Xenopus tropicalis: one gene and its partners. The protein of the gene in region 4 interacts with the protein of the main gene of each other region in a pairwise test. Links are inferred from orthologs where the notes say so. Each region holds a gene or a part of one and is shown on either strand. Other genes may lie near its edges. The genes, in order: plxnb1, plxnb2, plxnb3 and arhgef11.

What was found.
Region 1: the proteins of arhgef11 (region 4) and plxnb1 interact in a two-hybrid assay, tested with the Homo sapiens proteins (2 studies listed by BioGRID). The link is inferred for Xenopus tropicalis from reciprocal best matches to the Homo sapiens genes ARHGEF11 and PLXNB1.
Region 2: the proteins of arhgef11 (region 4) and plxnb2 interact in a two-hybrid assay, tested with the Homo sapiens proteins (2 studies listed by BioGRID). The link is inferred for Xenopus tropicalis from reciprocal best matches to the Homo sapiens genes ARHGEF11 and PLXNB2.
Region 3: the proteins of arhgef11 (region 4) and plxnb3 interact in a two-hybrid assay, tested with the Homo sapiens proteins (2 studies listed by BioGRID and IntAct). The link is inferred for Xenopus tropicalis from reciprocal best matches to the Homo sapiens genes ARHGEF11 and PLXNB3.

The regions. Positions count from the first base shown.
Region 1 is NC_030680.2:139,214,258-139,218,064, forward strand, and holds part of plxnb1 (plexin-B1), read right to left. Parts: intron 3,608-3,807; coding exon 3,507-3,607; intron 2,680-3,506; coding exon 2,462-2,679; intron 2,373-2,461; coding exon 2,194-2,372; intron 1,982-2,193; coding exon 1,915-1,981; intron 1,475-1,914; coding exon 1,328-1,474; intron 885-1,327; coding exon 707-884; intron 346-706; coding exon 242-345; intron 1-241. UniProt on the Homo sapiens protein: Receptor for SEMA4D. Plays a role in GABAergic synapse development. Mediates SEMA4A- and SEMA4D-dependent inhibitory synapse development. Plays a role in RHOA activation and subsequent changes of the actin cytoskeleton.
Region 2 is NC_030679.2:71,409,321-71,413,737, forward strand, and holds the start of plxnb2 (plexin-B2), read left to right. Parts: upstream 1-1,388; 5' UTR 1,389-1,700; intron 1,701-4,417.
Region 3 is NC_030684.2:23,786,875-23,790,681, reverse strand, and holds part of plxnb3 (plexin-B3), read right to left. Parts: intron 2,561-3,807; coding exon 2,446-2,560; intron 2,361-2,445; coding exon 2,247-2,360; intron 1,487-2,246; coding exon 1,364-1,486; intron 1,139-1,363; coding exon 1,045-1,138; intron 63-1,044; coding exon 1-62. UniProt on the Homo sapiens protein: Receptor for SEMA5A that plays a role in axon guidance, invasive growth and cell migration. Stimulates neurite outgrowth and mediates Ca(2+)/Mg(2+)-dependent cell aggregation.
Region 4 is NC_030684.2:131,858,125-131,861,931, reverse strand, and holds part of arhgef11 (rho guanine nucleotide exchange factor 11), read left to right. Parts: intron 1-261; coding exon 262-443; intron 444-535; coding exon 536-607; intron 608-898; coding exon 899-1,018; intron 1,019-2,318; coding exon 2,319-2,373; intron 2,374-2,706; coding exon 2,707-2,783; intron 2,784-3,148; coding exon 3,149-3,304; intron 3,305-3,606; coding exon 3,607-3,678; intron 3,679-3,807. UniProt on the Homo sapiens protein: May play a role in the regulation of RhoA GTPase by guanine nucleotide-binding alpha-12 (GNA12) and alpha-13 (GNA13). Acts as guanine nucleotide exchange factor (GEF) for RhoA GTPase and may act as GTPase-activating protein (GAP) for GNA12 and GNA13.

The DNA of each region.
Region 1 (3,807 bases), on a different chromosome or scaffold from region 4:
GCCCCTGTGGTCCCTATCATTACATATAAACAGAATGCACCTTATCTTTTAGAGAGGTTAAGGAAGGGGATTTTTTTTAGCCCTCAAACTGCCAGTTCAGATACTGAGGGGGAACATGCATGTACTAACATAAATATAAATCCCTTACCCACTGGTTAGGGGGGATACAGTCCCAGTAATGCAGTAGGTTCTAGGTGTTCTAGGTGCTACAAGCAGAAGACCTCCCTGTGCAAAGTCTCACCTTGTAATGTTGCAATGTGTTCACTCTTTTCCACGACCCATGCACCACTGACGTCAGATCTTCATCGGAAAGTATCAGATGACCGGCCAACCCTGATCTCCATTCTGCCAGGGGGAACGGGAGGAAAGGGTGTAAGGATGGTTATAAGCTGGTAACTGTTGGGACAGCTAGGAAAACAAATCCCCCTCCCGATATCAGGGCTGTGGAGTTGGTACATAAATCCTTTGACTCTGACTTCAAATCCAGGTACCTAAAATTGCTTCCGACTCCGACTTGGCAACTCTGACTCCATAGCTCTGCCAGATATACCATTTCTCTCTGCTTTCAAGTTGATGGCTGTAAGAGGGCGGCTATCAAAGGCTGAAGGCATTATTTTATATAAATAACGGTGCCACTCATAGTCTGTCTTGCCCTGGGTTCCAGCACTACTAAAGATTTCCCCTCCCTATGGACAACCTGACTTACCCAAGTCTAGCGCTTCGGGGTTTGGTCGATTACAGTACGGGGTTCCCTTGTATATCTGGTCAAGGATCTTTTCTTTCACTTGAGTGATGGTGTCGCAGTCGAGCAATTTCACCGGCAACCCTTGTGCTTCCTCTTCACAAGTGATGCCCGTGTTGGTTTGCATGATTGCATTCAGCGTCTGGGAAGGAATAATGTTTAAGTGCACCCAAAATGTCATCTACGTACCACTGGAAAAATTCACTATTTTACTCTGAACTAGCAACTTATAGGAGCCAACCAGCTAGAAGCTCAGACCAATCATCTGACGTAACATACATGAAAACAAAAATATGCAAAGGAATAGAAATAATGACCCCCTTCCCCCGCTGTTTATTAATTCCCCACAAGTGTAAGTGACATAAGGAATTAACTTTATGCGGATACTCAGGGAATTTAGTGACCTTGCTGAGAAGACCATGTTGGATTAGACACTTATCTATGGCCACCATCAGAATAGATTTGTGACTTAAGGCCCAATAAAACGATTGGGACAAAGGGGACAAGATACTGCTTACCATGGCCCCTACTTTGAGCACAGAGCACCCTTAATGTCCACAATAGGAAGCCACCCCAACAACTCACCAGAGTTTTGTATTCTACATCATCCCTCAGGAGGCGGTTGTCATTCAGAGTGTACTTAGCCTTCCCCGTCACACAGTCCACTGGTCCTTTATCCACCTGGTGCTTTATCCCACGGAACAACATATAAAGTGGTTCTCCAGCTGAATCCTGCCATAAGAATACAACAGTGACTAAGGTGACCTTGCCAATACACAGCTTATCAACTTGTAGATAGTGTTTGTAAACATTAAAAGTGCAATATTGTCCGGACCCCTGTGGGAAGGTGGAATCTCAGAGTTAAGGTCCCCATACACTGGCAGATCCGCTCGCTTGGCATACGGGTGGGTGATATCGGTAGAATCCAGTGTAATTCGATCGTTTGGCCCTGGGTCCAAACGATCGAATTATAATGATGGGCATAGGTAAAGTCGGTCCGGCACCGTATCAGGCCAGATATCGGTCGGGCAGGCCCGTCGGAAGTGCCCATACACGGGACCGATATCGGCAGCTACTATCGGCCCGTGTATGGGGACCTTTACAAAGTAGAACTGGTACTCAATCTACCAAAAGATAAAGTATGTATCCAATACCTAGCACTCGCTACTTACCCTCACAAACGTATATAGACAGATGGACATCCAGTTGGTCAGCAGCTTCTCCACCACTGTCTCTGTCCTAGAACAAAGAGGTCCATAGATAAGAACATCAGAAACCCAACCAGTCTGTCTTCTCTAAGTATTGCATAACCTAAATGGGTAACCTTTCTTTATCTAGACTAATACATCATTTTTACTCGGCAGAGGAACTACCAAAGCCTTGTGTCTTCTGGATCGCTATAGTGGGAAACAGCATCATAAGACAAAAGTACAAAGTATTCCAGTCTCTACCTTCTAAGCATCAGCTTTGGGTTCTTGGCCACATACTGTTCCACCAGATCATTCAGGAGGGTCTTTAAGATGTCAGTGAAGTATTCCAGCTTCCCATGCAGAGATACAGTTAGGAGAGATGCCACGTAGGCACGGTCTCTTGCTGAAAATGTGCGTTGGCTTTCCAGGGTGTGAATAAACTAAAATATAAATTGAAGATTAAATTGGAATAAATTAGCAGAGCGTAATGAAACTAAATGATACCCAGGAGAGAGTAACGCTTGCATACCTTGGTAAGAAAGAGCTTGCTGTTCAGAAGGTTGGAGAGCTGGACCAAGCCCTGTTCTACTGTCTGGCGCCGGCCTTCTGGGACATCCAAGTCTCTCTGCAATGGCGACTCGCGGTGACCAGGGAAGAAAATCCTCTCTGCGTATGATTTGTAATCCAGGAATGGGATCCCGGTGCCCACCAAGTCACTTGTAAGGTCCATCATCTCTGTCATCAAGTCTACAAGAGAGAAGCAGTCACAGCATTGTCACTTACACTTATTATCTAAGTAAGCTTGGCTATAGCAACAAGGAGGGAAAACAAAAACCCACTTCCCAAACCATCAATGTGTATATTTGGATTCCTATGTGATGGCTGCCATCATTCATACATGACAATCTGCTTAGGACTCAGAAGAGAAGTGCAGCCGATTCCTGCCCACTAGGCCACGATAAAGATATGGATCAGCTAAGAGACCCAACATGGTCAGTCTTTCACTATGTGTAGCTGCACATTTACAGAGAAGGAATGGCCTCTATACATCAGGGGTCCCAAACCTTCCTTACTCGTGAGCCACAGTCAAATATAAAAAGACTTGGGGAGCAACACAAGCACCATAAAAGTTCATGGAGGAGCCAAATAAGGGCTGTGATTGGCTATTAGGGGCCTCTATGCACCCTATCAGCTTACAGGGGCTTTATTTGGTAGGAAATCTTGTTTTTATTCAACCAAAACTTGCTCAGAAATAACTCCCTGGTTTGGGGGCACTGAGAGCAACATCCAAGGGGTTGGGGAGCAACATGTTGCCCCTGAGCCACTATTTGGGGATCACTGCTATACATGGATGCTACTAAAGCATGAGATCGAGATCCACTATAGGCACATAGGAAACTAAGAAGATGTCTAGCTGTATATCAACTTTCAAAATTGAAACACTAAGCTCCAGTATATTTTAGATTCTGTCAATTTGTTGGAAATATTTTTACAATATATACAGCTCCATGCTAGAGATATTCATTTCACCCTAATAACTATGAGCAGTGCCGGCCTATCATGTTAGTCTGTACCTGTGAATTCCTTCTTGCAGCGATCTCTGACACTAGTTTCCAGGTTCTCCAATTGGATTTGGACTTTCTTGTAATCCCGCAGGGCCTGCTTGCTCTTCCGCCTGGAAAAGAAAACCCTGAATATTTAGATAATTTGTTCCGTTACCATGACAGTGCTAAAGACTTACTATGGCCCTAATAAGGCCATTCTAAATCAACTTTGCAGTTGGTCTTCATTATTTATATAACATATTTTTCTATTCAGGTCCTCTCCTAGAAATAATTTAGTCTCTCATTCAAACCACTCCCCAGTTGCTAAGGT
Region 2 (4,417 bases), on a different chromosome or scaffold from region 4:
GAGTGTGAATAAGAATTTTGGCAGCATCTTGGGTGATAAATGATCGTATTTTGGAGATATTTCTTAGGTGAAAGTGACATGATTTGATAAGTGATTGGATATGAGGAGTGAAGGACAGGGCAGAATCAAGGATAACCCCAAGGCACCGGGCCTGGGAAGATGGGGTGATGGTAGAATTGTTAACCTTTATAGATACCTCGGGAACAATGTGGGCATTGGATGGGGGAAAGAGAACCAGTTCAGTCTTAGAGAGGTTTAGTTTAAGGTAACGTTGGGACATCCAAGTGGATATAGCGGCCAGGCAGGAAGAGACGCGAGTTAGAAGCTCTGGGTTGAGATCAGGAGAGGAAAGATATATCTGAGTATCATCAGCATAGAGGTGGTAGTGAAAGCCAAAAGAATTGATTAGTTTGCCAAGTGAGGAGGTATAGAGAGAAAATAGTAAGGGGCCCAGGACAGAGCCTTGGGAAACTCCGACAGAAAGAGGCAGGGGAGAAGATGATTCCCCATTGTAAGAGACACTGAAGGATCGATCTGAGAGATAAGATGAAAACCAGGATAAGGCAGTGTCACGAAGGCCAAGAGAGCAGAGAGTCTGGAGGAGAAGAGGGTGATCTACAGTGTCAAAAGCAGCAGAGAGATCGAGAAGTATTAGTAACGAGTAGTGTTTTTTGGCTTTAGCCGATAGGAGGTCATTTGTTAGTCGGGTTAGCGCAGTTTCGGTGGAGTGTTGTTGTCTAAAACCAGATTGTAGGGGATCCAGGAGGTTTTGTTATAGAGGAATAGCATCAGTCGGTTGTAAACTAGGCACTCAAGCAGTTTGGAGATGAATGGGGGCAGAGAGATCTCCCCGAAATGCCATCCCATCGGCTAGAATGTAAATCGCTGGTGGGATGGCATACCCGGCGCCGCGATTTGCCGGGTCGCTGAAGTTTCCTCTCAAGGCAACTTCGGCAAATTGAGGCGCCGCGTATGCCATCCCACCAGCAATTTACATTCTAGCTGGTGGGATGGTGACTAATCTCTCGGTGTGTCACAGCCCCTAAAAAGACATTTACAATTATTTTGACGTGCAGCTTTATCCTTATATAAATGTATGATGGGGTTCCTTTGAAAGGGAGTATTTTCTAACACAAACTCATTAATGATAGACTATTTGCCATTGGCAAAAGCAGTGAAAATGAGGCGAATAAGTCGGAGCGCAATGCCAGTTCAGGGCCATAGGTTGGATATATTTAGAACAGGCTATTGTAGCTATTGAAAAAGAATGCCTGTTGGAATTCCATCAAAGCCAGTCATAGCCCATGGCTATTGCCTAGTGGCCAGTGAAATTCCTTCGCACTCCTCCCAATCCAGTGCCTCTGGCACCCCCTCCCATTCCTTGAGAGCTCCCAGGCAGTCTGAAATCCGATCCTCCGCAGCCGGCTCAGAGGGGAGGACTCTCTCCCTGTTATTCTGCCTTTTTTTTCCTGCTTCCTGTTTCTGGTATTGTGCTGGGGAGCGGATGTGCGCAGCGCCCACAGGTGTGTCTCCTCTCGGCGCTCAGTGCTAGGGAGTCGGCTGGGAAGGACTGTGCGAGGCTGATATGGACACAGTGAGGGCCGGGGGGTCGGGGCGCGGAGCCGCACTACATTTCTCTCAGCGTCTCCATTAAGTCCGGGAAAGCCGCGGGAAGCGGAGCCTAGCAGGAGACTTGTTGGGTGAGTTCCTCCCAAATTCCGCTCTTATTTTTAGGCTATCTTGTCATAGCACCTGTTGGCCGGAGAGTGGGGCAGCGCTGTGCTGGACATTCTCCACTCAGTCACCTTCCTTCCAGCTCATCTGTGCTAAGTTTTAGCGCTGGGTGTCTGGGCGGGGGGAGTGGCCGGGCTCCTTTGGACTGGGGATTAGCGATCAGTCTTATCAAAGTGACCCCTTCCAGCTTTAATGGAAACCTGTGAACTTGGGAAGGAGGTAAGAGGCGCTGTCCCACCCGCAGGGTTCTGTGGGAGCGGGAGTAGCATGGGGTGCCACAGACTGGGAGCTCCTTTCCCACGGTTACATCCACGCACCACACCACCTGCCTTGGGAGTTACCTGATTCATAAAATCTATTTCAGGAATGTGCTGACACTTCTGCTTTGTTTCAAATAATAGCAAAGTCAATGTACAGTTGTTTGCTCTTCAGCTTAGGATCATTTTAGTTCAGGCTTGTTCATACTGGATATTGCATGGCTGCTATTGTTTGTACAGTAGAGAAACATCAGTGGCTTGTAGAAGCTGGGATTGTATGGAAGGAACAGCAGACTAAAATGTGATAGAACAGCTGTTTATTTGCAGAGAGATAGATACAAATGATCATGCAGCTAGTGTTTATAGACTTCATTATGTGTTATTTATTGGGATCACTTCATTTAAAACACATCTGCTAATTCTCTGCATGTTATTGCTATTGACATGATGGCTTTGTATTGTTAATTCTTAGAATGAACTCCATGTTCCAGTTTAACCCTACAAGTTGGAGCTTGCCCCTGTCTGGCAGAAGCTACAGCTCAAATTGCTGTCATTGCATTGAGCATTCTGACAGTAGCTAACAAGTAAGATTAAGTTTGATGTCCTGGAAAGGTTGGGGACTACTGATTCCTTGATTCACTGCTGTTCTCTTGTTTGCAGATGTTTCATGCAGGCTAACGGCTAACAGGATTGCTGTTAGGTTTTATAATGTAACATTTTGTGAGATGTGTAAAAGCTTGGGCTCATGTTGTCCATTCTTTGTGTTGCAGGTTCCCATTTTTTATGTTTCTGGTGGTTTATTGGTTTCAAGTAAATACAGTTAATGGAATTAAACAGTAAATATTTGTTTGTGTTGAGTGTATAGGGTGTTCCTAAATGTAGCAGCAAGGGAAGTTGCAGGCCTTTGTGGCCCTTTTCTTGCTTTTTGAATGTGCTGTGTATGCATCTTCACTGTTTTACACTTAACAAATATTGTTTGGCCTAGCACTGGATGTCCAAATGGCAAATTTGTTTGGGTTCACCATAATCTATAACCTTACTATCTTAGGCCATTTAGTTGTCCTTGCAGTTACCTGCTCACCAGCAGTAATTATGCAATTGTGTCTCGTATACATGGTTTTGAGGATTATTATTGCATGATATTCTATGTAGACATATGAAATGTAACTAGGCACTTTTAAAAATAAGGGTTCTGTTGTGTTGTTTGAAGACATTCTTGCAGACGGTCTGAGCTGTCACAGGGTGACATGAATAGGCCTTATGGCAGCATTAGCATGGTAAAGTAAATACTCTATAGATAGTGCTTTCTTTTAGTTTCACTTTGGGTGGTGAGGAAGAACAGTAGTTGATCATTACATGAGTGTGGGCTGAAAGCTCTATTTTCAGAAGTCCAGTATCCAAATCATGAATGCAGGCGCAAACACAGAACACAATAAATCAGTTCTACAGTGCAGTTACATTTTGTACTAAACTATTAATGCAAATACCAAAAACTGAATTACAAAGTGGACATTTCCTATATATGAACACACTGTACACAAAGTACCATCAGGCTTTTATGTCATTTTATGTTTATTGAAGATTTAAGGCATCACACAGAAGCACTGTTTAAAGCAGTGATCCCCAACCAGTGACTCAAGAGCAGCATGTTGCTCTCAGTGCCCCTAAACCAGGTAGTTATTTTTGAATTCCTGACTTGGTGGCAAGTTTTGGTTGAATAAAAACAAGATTTACTACCAAATAAATCCTCCTGTAAGCTGAGTGTGTGCTAGAGGCTACCTAATAGCCTGTCTTAGCCCTTATCTGGCCCTCCATGAACTGATGCTTGTGTTGCTGTCTAAAGCTGGCCATACACGTGGCGATCTGACGATGTTTCGTGCGACCAACGGTCGCACGAAACATCGTCAGATCCGCCACACACCATTCAGGGCTGAATCGGCAGGTAAGGAGGTAGAAACAATAGGATTTCTACCTCCTTCTGCCGATTCAGCGCTGAAGGGAGAATTTTGGTCAGGCGCCTTCTATGGCGCCCGATCAAAATTTTCAAACTGGTCCGATCGGCGAGTCGACGATATCAGCAGCTTCCTGCGGTTTCGTACGATATTATCGGTGCGTGTATGGCCACCTTAAGTCTTTTTGCATTTGACTGTGGCTCATGAGTAAGAAAGGTTGGGGACTCCTGGTTTAAAGCTAAGGTTCTTTATCAAGCCTGTAAATTAACGTTGGCCCCATGCATAGATGACTCAATTATTTAAGACAAAATGTTCACTGAACACAAACTGTTGTGACTATTTAAGGGGAACTTCATACAATATTTTTTCATAATTAAAGAGAAATGTTATTTCAAGAAACCTTTAGAGTTACCTGTAAATTGATTTAATTTTTAAAGCAGTGCTTTGAATTGAGCTGCCCTTGTTTAGGGGGTG
Region 3 (3,807 bases), about 110 Mb from region 4:
ATTATGCAAGGCTTGACAGCGACTGCAGTCAGACTGTCCAACTGAGCAGTTGTACAAAACCACTAAAAACAGAAAAAAAGAAGGTATACAGAACCACCATAAGAAAGAAGAGTTATATAGGCCCATTATGGGAAGAGTCATATAGAACCAATATGGGAAAGTAAGAGTCATACAGAGTCACTATGGGAAAGGAAGAGTCATACAGAGCCACTATGGGAAAGGAAGAGTCATACAATGCCACTATGGGAAATGAAGAGTCATACAGAGCCACTATGGAAAGGGAAGAGTCATACAGAGCCACTATGGGAAAGGAAGAGTCATACAGAGCCACTATGGGAAAGGAAGAGTCATACAGAGCCACTATGGGAAAGGAAGAGTCATACAGAGCTACTATGGGAAAGGAAGAGTCATACAGAGCCACTATGGGAAAGGGAAGAGTCATACAGAGCCACTATGGGAAAGGAAGAGTCATACAGAGCCACTATGGGAAAGGAAGAGTCATACAGAGCCACTATGGGAAAGGAAGAGTCATACAGAGCCACTATGGGAAAGGAAGAGTCATACAGAGCCCCTATGGGAAAGGAAGAGTCATACAGAGCCCCTATGGGAAAGGAAGAGTCATACAGAGCCACTATGGGAAAGGAAAAGTCATACAATGCCACTATGGGGAAATGAAGAGTCATACAGAGCTACTATGGGAAAGGAAGAGTCATACAGAGCCACTATGGGAAAGGAAGAGTCATACAGAGCCACTATGGGAAAGGGAAGAGTCATACAGAGCCACTATGGGAAAGGAAGAGTCATACAGAGCCACTATGGGAAAGGAAAAGTCATACAGAGCCACTATGGGAAAGGGAAGAGTCATACAGAGCCACTATGGGAAAGGAAGAGTCATACAATGCCACCAAGGGGAAGAAAGAGTTATACAGAGCCACTGTGGGAAAGGAGGAGTCAAATAAAGTGACTTGGTACTATGACAAATGTATGCAGAGCAACAGAAACAGAGACAGAGAGCCCCTTTGAGAATAAAGCAAGTGGACATACCCTGAATGTCTTCTTTATCATCCACTCGATGGCCATCGCCCGTCATAACATAAATGGTAACCTGATGCTCCAGCGTACGTAATGAATACTCAAACTATAAATATGATATAAAATATTTTGAATATATTATTATCCAGATTATCCACTATAACATAAAATGGTCACTTGCTCAATAATGGTTATTCAAAAGGTATGGATTAGGTCGAGCCAGGCACTCACACTTTGCCAAATCCCAAACTGAATCAAGGATTTGGCATATTCCGATTCACAATGTTACAGCCTTGTCCATCTATACAGTACTATGCTATTCCCTACCCACCTTGTGTGTCTGGCAGTGCACTTGAAAAACATCTTTTTCTCCAGTCACATTCTCAATTTGTGCAGGCAGCGTTGTTGTGGTGCCATGGGCATCAATCACACAGCTATAACCTAGAACCTCCTCCTGCAGGAAAGACAGAACAATTGACTGACCGACATGGCAAAATTTGGAGACACAAGTCTCAGGCATAGCTCCTTCACAGCCAAGTATTACTTGCTAGGGATGAGTCTTCAAAAGCATGCAAAAAGCAGACCCTGTGACTGCTGTGGAACCCAGAAAATTAGAGGGCCTATTGGAGCTACAATGTGGCAATTTAAAGTTAATAAACAGGCCATTCAAATCACACCACATAATTATTTGTTAAAGGAACAGGAAAGTAAATTCCATGTCCTATTTCCTCTGAAAAGCCGATCAAACATTCTAACATTTCAATTTTAATTTAGTTACTGGGGGACTGTGGTTGTTGGGGGTAATGGATGATATTCAGTTTATCTAAGACAGGGGTCCCAAAACTTTCTTACCCATGAGCCACAATCAAATGTAAAAAGAATTGGGAAGCAACATGAAAGCATGACAAAATATACCTGGGGTGCCAAATAAGGGCTGTGAATGGCTATTTGGCAGCCCCTATGTGGACAGGAGGCTCTGTTTTGCAGTACACCTGGTCCTTATGCAACTAAAACTTGCCTCCAAGCCAGAAATACAAAAATAAGCACCTTCTTTGAGGCCACTGGGAGCAACATTCAAAGCCTTGGTGAGAAATATGTTGCTTGGGAGCCACTGGTTGAAGACCACTGATCTGAAGAGCAATTAGCCTGTACATAACACCCTTTTGTCCATGGCTTTGGTTTATGTAAAAGTAAAGCCATTGCTGTTAACCCACCTTAAGTAGTTGTAAATTACGTCCAATAAGATCCAGTTCTCTCTCAACCCCAACAGGGATCAATGTCGACCCATCAACACTCTCTATTCTTGGGCAAGCATCAGGACCACCCAGCTGGAATCAAAGAGATGGGTAAGTGTACATATTATAAAGTTACCACATCTATAATGTGTTTATGTGCGCGCCAGCTACTTCTTACTCTTTGGTTGAATATGATCACTTGGTCTTGGCTGCAGTTTTGTGTATCATGAATGCAGCGATAATCATTCACGCACCAGTGGCATTCCCACTGGCTATTTACACATCCGGCACACCTACAGGCACAAATCATTTCATTAAACATTTACTTTAAATATCTATTTAGTTGAAAATCACAAAATCTGCAAATGCATCGTAAGTTTGGAACAGTCGATTGCACATGTTATAGAATGACCTAATTAGAAATTGGTTATAATCGAGTGCATGGGTGAGGACCTTCCTGTAATTCTGAGCTTTCTAGATAATGGATTTCCAGGTAAGGGATCCTGTACCCGCATCAATGACTAGTGCTTTCAATGAGCATGAGATGTGCCAGGAATAAAACATTCCCTATTTATTTCTCTAGTTTCCATTTTTGTGGTTATTATCTGGTTTAGTTGGCTCTGTTTTGCGCTGCTAGTTAATAATGAAATGATCAGAGTAGTGAGAAGCAGTGTTTCACAGGAGTCCGAATGCAACCGAATGTGAGGATCAGCTTCCTCATCTAATAACAAGGTGTATATATATTCAAAATATTGCTACCTTGGCATAAATTTCCCCTAAAACACACGTTGGGTTTATTTGCATCAGGCCCAGATTGAGATTCAAAACAGGCTCGGGCATTTCCAGTGCACAAGGTCCAAACTGACCCCACCAGCCGAAAAATTAGTGACTGCCTATGGCGTCTTACAGCAGCCCCGAATCCATGGATTGCCAGTCCGGGCCTGATCTGCAAATAGTTTGCCCCACAGCTTCACTTATAGTGACTCTGTGCAAACCCAGACCATGGTCCCATCCATTGAGAACATGTGAATGGAACACTGTGTGTGACTTAGTTGCAAAATCCATTTACTGAAACAAGCTCTTGTATATGCTGGTATTCCCTGGGGGCGTCAGTTACTCTTGCACACCTCACTTCCCTTCTCTGAATAGAAAATTACAGGACTGACGTAGCTCAGTGGCTCAGTGGCTTCACACAGGTTTTTGAAAACAGCCAATCAGATCATACTGACATATATGTATGGAGACTAGGGATGCACCAAATCCAGGATTCAGCCTTTTTTGGCAAGATTTGGCCAAATCCATGCTCCTGGCAAACTGAATCCTTAAAATGATGTGGCTTGACATGTAAATACAGAAGTTAAAAATTTTTTTGTGCAAATTAGGATTCGGTTCAGTTCAGTATCCGGCCAAATTTCTCACGAAGGATCCAGGGTTCAGACGAAAAAGTGGATTTGACGCACCGCTAATGGAATATAAATAGTATAACTAGTAGACATGTAAGTGCATTGATGTCTATAAAGAACATCTACAGGGTCAAGCA
Region 4 (3,807 bases):
AATTTTTATAGGATATGTCTCCTTTAACTGCAATGCTGGTCCTGGCTACATGGACCATTCAAACTATGTTGCCATAGTTAGCTCTCCTGTGGCCCAGACTTCAATTCCCAAAATGCCTTGCACACGTCTGTGAGTCTCCTTTTTTGACCAGGACAGGTTAAAGTTCCCTGTGCCAAGTCCCAAGGGGGAATATTAGTTAAAGGTGGTTTCATATATATCTTTATATTTAACCCCTGTTGTGCTGATGTTTCAATCCAACAGCCGGCGCTTATGTTGCTCTCACTCTCCTGGGTTCTCCGCCTCCATCCATGGGCATATCTGGGTATCCGCAAGACCTGAGCACCTCTGTGTCACCTCGTAACATATCAGTGTTGCCAATGCCACCTCCTCCGCCTCCACCTTTGCCCCAGATGCATCACATCACAGGACCTAAACCGCTACAGGTAATGTGCCATGTCCCTGCTCCCATTAAGTTCTACCCTGTCAGCTATATAAGACACAGTGTGATGGAATTTCGTTGTGATCACTTCTTTAGGACCCCGATTTCCAAAAGCACGCCACGGAAATCCTTTGGAACATGTTAAAGCAGGAGGAAGCGGATCTACAGGTAGGGTCTTGCAAGGGAACCTTGTATTACAGGCATAGTGCTAAACTGGACTTTGGAACAGGAAAGATTGCTTTGCAGCAGTGCTGTTTTCCAAGGATTTTAACTGAGTTATTTCTCGCTGTGAGTTTTCCCTGCACGCTCCACCTAGTGGCAGTAAATGGAATCTATTGAAAAGAACACGTGATATTGTAACTCTAAATAGAGTGACAGTGGGGCTGCTTGGCAACATTGGGTGCTATGTGGTTGGCATGTAGAAGGCTCAGATTAATAGATCATTCTATCTCTTGGCAGAATCTGTGTGATGTGTATAACAAAAGCCCTAACTCCAGCCTGCAGGAGCAGATAGAGAGGGCCAGGAAAAGGGTGCATCAGCTTCAGCATAAGATAAGGCAAGAAATCCCTGGTACTGGGGTAAGTACATAACATTTTTACTGCATGAACTACTCCCCAGGCACCCCCAAGTAAAACGCTACAGGAACGAAAAAGGATGATGATGTAGTGATACCTAAAACTCTTTTTATCCGTTCAAGTTGGCCATTTTGGCTTATTAATAATACCTGAAACTAATCTTTGCTTCCAAAGCGGAGTTGGTTGGTAGTTGGCCATTTTGACATGGTAATAATATTGATAATTTAACTCCATTGGCTCAGACCCATAACTACAATGTAATCTGGCCTTTTTATGCAACACCTAGTTACCCGTCCTGGGCCAGCCCTTTGTCTCACTGACAGAGCAGACTGAATGGAGACTTTACCATTATATCTGTTTCTTATTATTAATGTGTACGGTGCTTCAGCTAAGCCTCCTTATCTATTTCACTCTCATTGCTGAGTCCCTAGGCATTCCTAGCCCAAGTGCACTCCATGTTTATGAGCCCTTCAGATAAAGGTTATTGATCCCAAGAGTAAATCTAAGACTAATGCCACACTGGGCTGTATCTCAGTCCGGCATATGAGCACCAACTGAGAAATTGCCCCTCCACTGTCATCCACGCTCTTCCTCTGCCTGCATCCAGGGACATTGTGTCGGCCACACAGAGCGGACTTCAATGGGAAAATGCATACTTATGCATTTCAGCACCAAAATCTGCTCCGTGTGTCTTCAACCAGGCTGACACAATGCCTCTGGGTCAGAAACAGGAGAGAGATGGCAGGGGATCTGCTGATAAATGCAGGCGAGAATCAGCCGCTTGTGGTTTAAGCCTAAATCCCTGCCATAAGACAGGCTTGTGACTGCCAGAATGTAAATAGTGAGGCAGGTGAGTACCAGAAAATAGCTTTCCCCATGGTGGCATAAAAAGTGCCAATAACTTCTAAAGAAGTAAAACTTTGTTTCCCACATTACACTCATACCCCATAACAATGTGGAATATCATGTAATATTGGTTATGTAATAAAAGGCACTAAGTTTGCCCAGGAGCAGTAACCCATAGCAACCAGTCAGCTGGAAGCATATACTGGTCACCTGTTTAAAAGCAAACATTTTCTTGGTTGCTATAGGTTAATGCTTCTGGGCAAACTTAGCACCTTTTATTACATATGGGGGTTAGAATTCTGAAGACATTACCCCCTTTTTATCCAGCTCAACAAATGACCCTCTTGCCCAATTGTCTGTGAGAGCAGTGCCATCTACTGGTAGTTCCTCCATATTGACTAAATATGCTTTTCGCCTATGGATAGAAAATTAACAGGTGCGTTGATCTGTGTTGCAGGATTTGTTGCGCTCATACAGTGACTGCAGCTCTTTGGGGTACAAAGTCAAAGAAGGTGAGTTTGTTTGGGTAGATGGCTGTACAATGAGGCCGGCTTATTCCCAAAGATGACGTTTAATTTGGTTTATGCTGAAACAGGGGATAGCAGTTATATTGGATAGCTTCAAGAAAGGGTTGGATTACTGAAATGAGCCCTCTCAGTATAAAGACAGTCATGGGGCTGGTCCAATTGGCCTTTTGGAGTGGGGAAGGATTTTTTTCCGCTAGCATTTTTTACCTCTTTCTATAAATCACCTAGATGTTAGGTCAGGTTTAGTTGGACAGAAAGTTGAGCTTCATTAGACGTATATCTTTTCTTAACCTAAGCTTTTTTTTTTTTTTTTTTAAGGTCGCTTGTCTGTTGATTCCCAGGATGGAGACAGCGGTCTGGATTCCGGAACTGAACGGATATCATCGTTGAGTGAGGTGATACTGGCAGCCGCCATCCATTAGCTCCCTTTTTATGGAGGAATGGAGTGTGCTTATTTCTCTCCTCTGTGTGTAAAGGGTAACTTAACCTTTCCGTATGTCAGGAAATGATAAGGAACTACTTGTATATAACAAGGATGCATATTTACATTAACCTTACATTCATTTTTATCTTGAAGTGGGAGTGTTTAGCTTATTATATGCCATAAATACATTAAAGGTAGCAGCCATAATTGCTTGTCAGCATAGTGCATTACTGGGCTTGTACAGAGCTGGGTCCACACAGATCTGTTCCATGGAATCTGTTAGCAAAATGTCTTGCCTGTGGGTACGTAATGTTCTGTTCCTTATTCTTTTAACAGTATTCCATGAATCGGAATTCTGTCCTGTCGGACCTCGGAATGGACAGCTCCCACACCTCTCCAATCATCCCTACTAAACTGTTTCACCACCACTATCACCACCACCATCATCGGCGGCAGGGCTCAGACACTGCCTTTATTGCCACATCTGAGCAGGTAAGTTGGGATACATCTGATATAGTGTAATGTGTTTTCTGGGAGGTATAGTTTATGTTACCAAAGGATTCTGGGGGAGAAATCTGGTTAAGACCCCCTCCATTTTGATAATTATATTGGTGAGAACAAATGTATTTATTCAGCTCGTTATAATGACCTTACAAGAGTGGATCGGACATCAGGGCACTAGGAACCCTGTCCTGAACACAGGAAATATTTACATTACTTTCCTTTAGCCAGGATTAAATATAAATTATCAGAGGAAATCGGGTCTGAATATTTTATCATCTTATTTTTTCCAGGTATCAGATCCCATGAAGTCTACAATAATCTGCCCAGAAGAGGACTACGACCATGGATATTACATGACAGAGGTATAACCAGATAACAAGCCTGTCTGCCCTCTCCTCCTGGTTTATAAAAGGGCACTTAAGCTTTTTCATGATTGTTTATATTAAAATGTTAATGACACTGCAGAGCTTTAATACCCAGTTTACAATTAG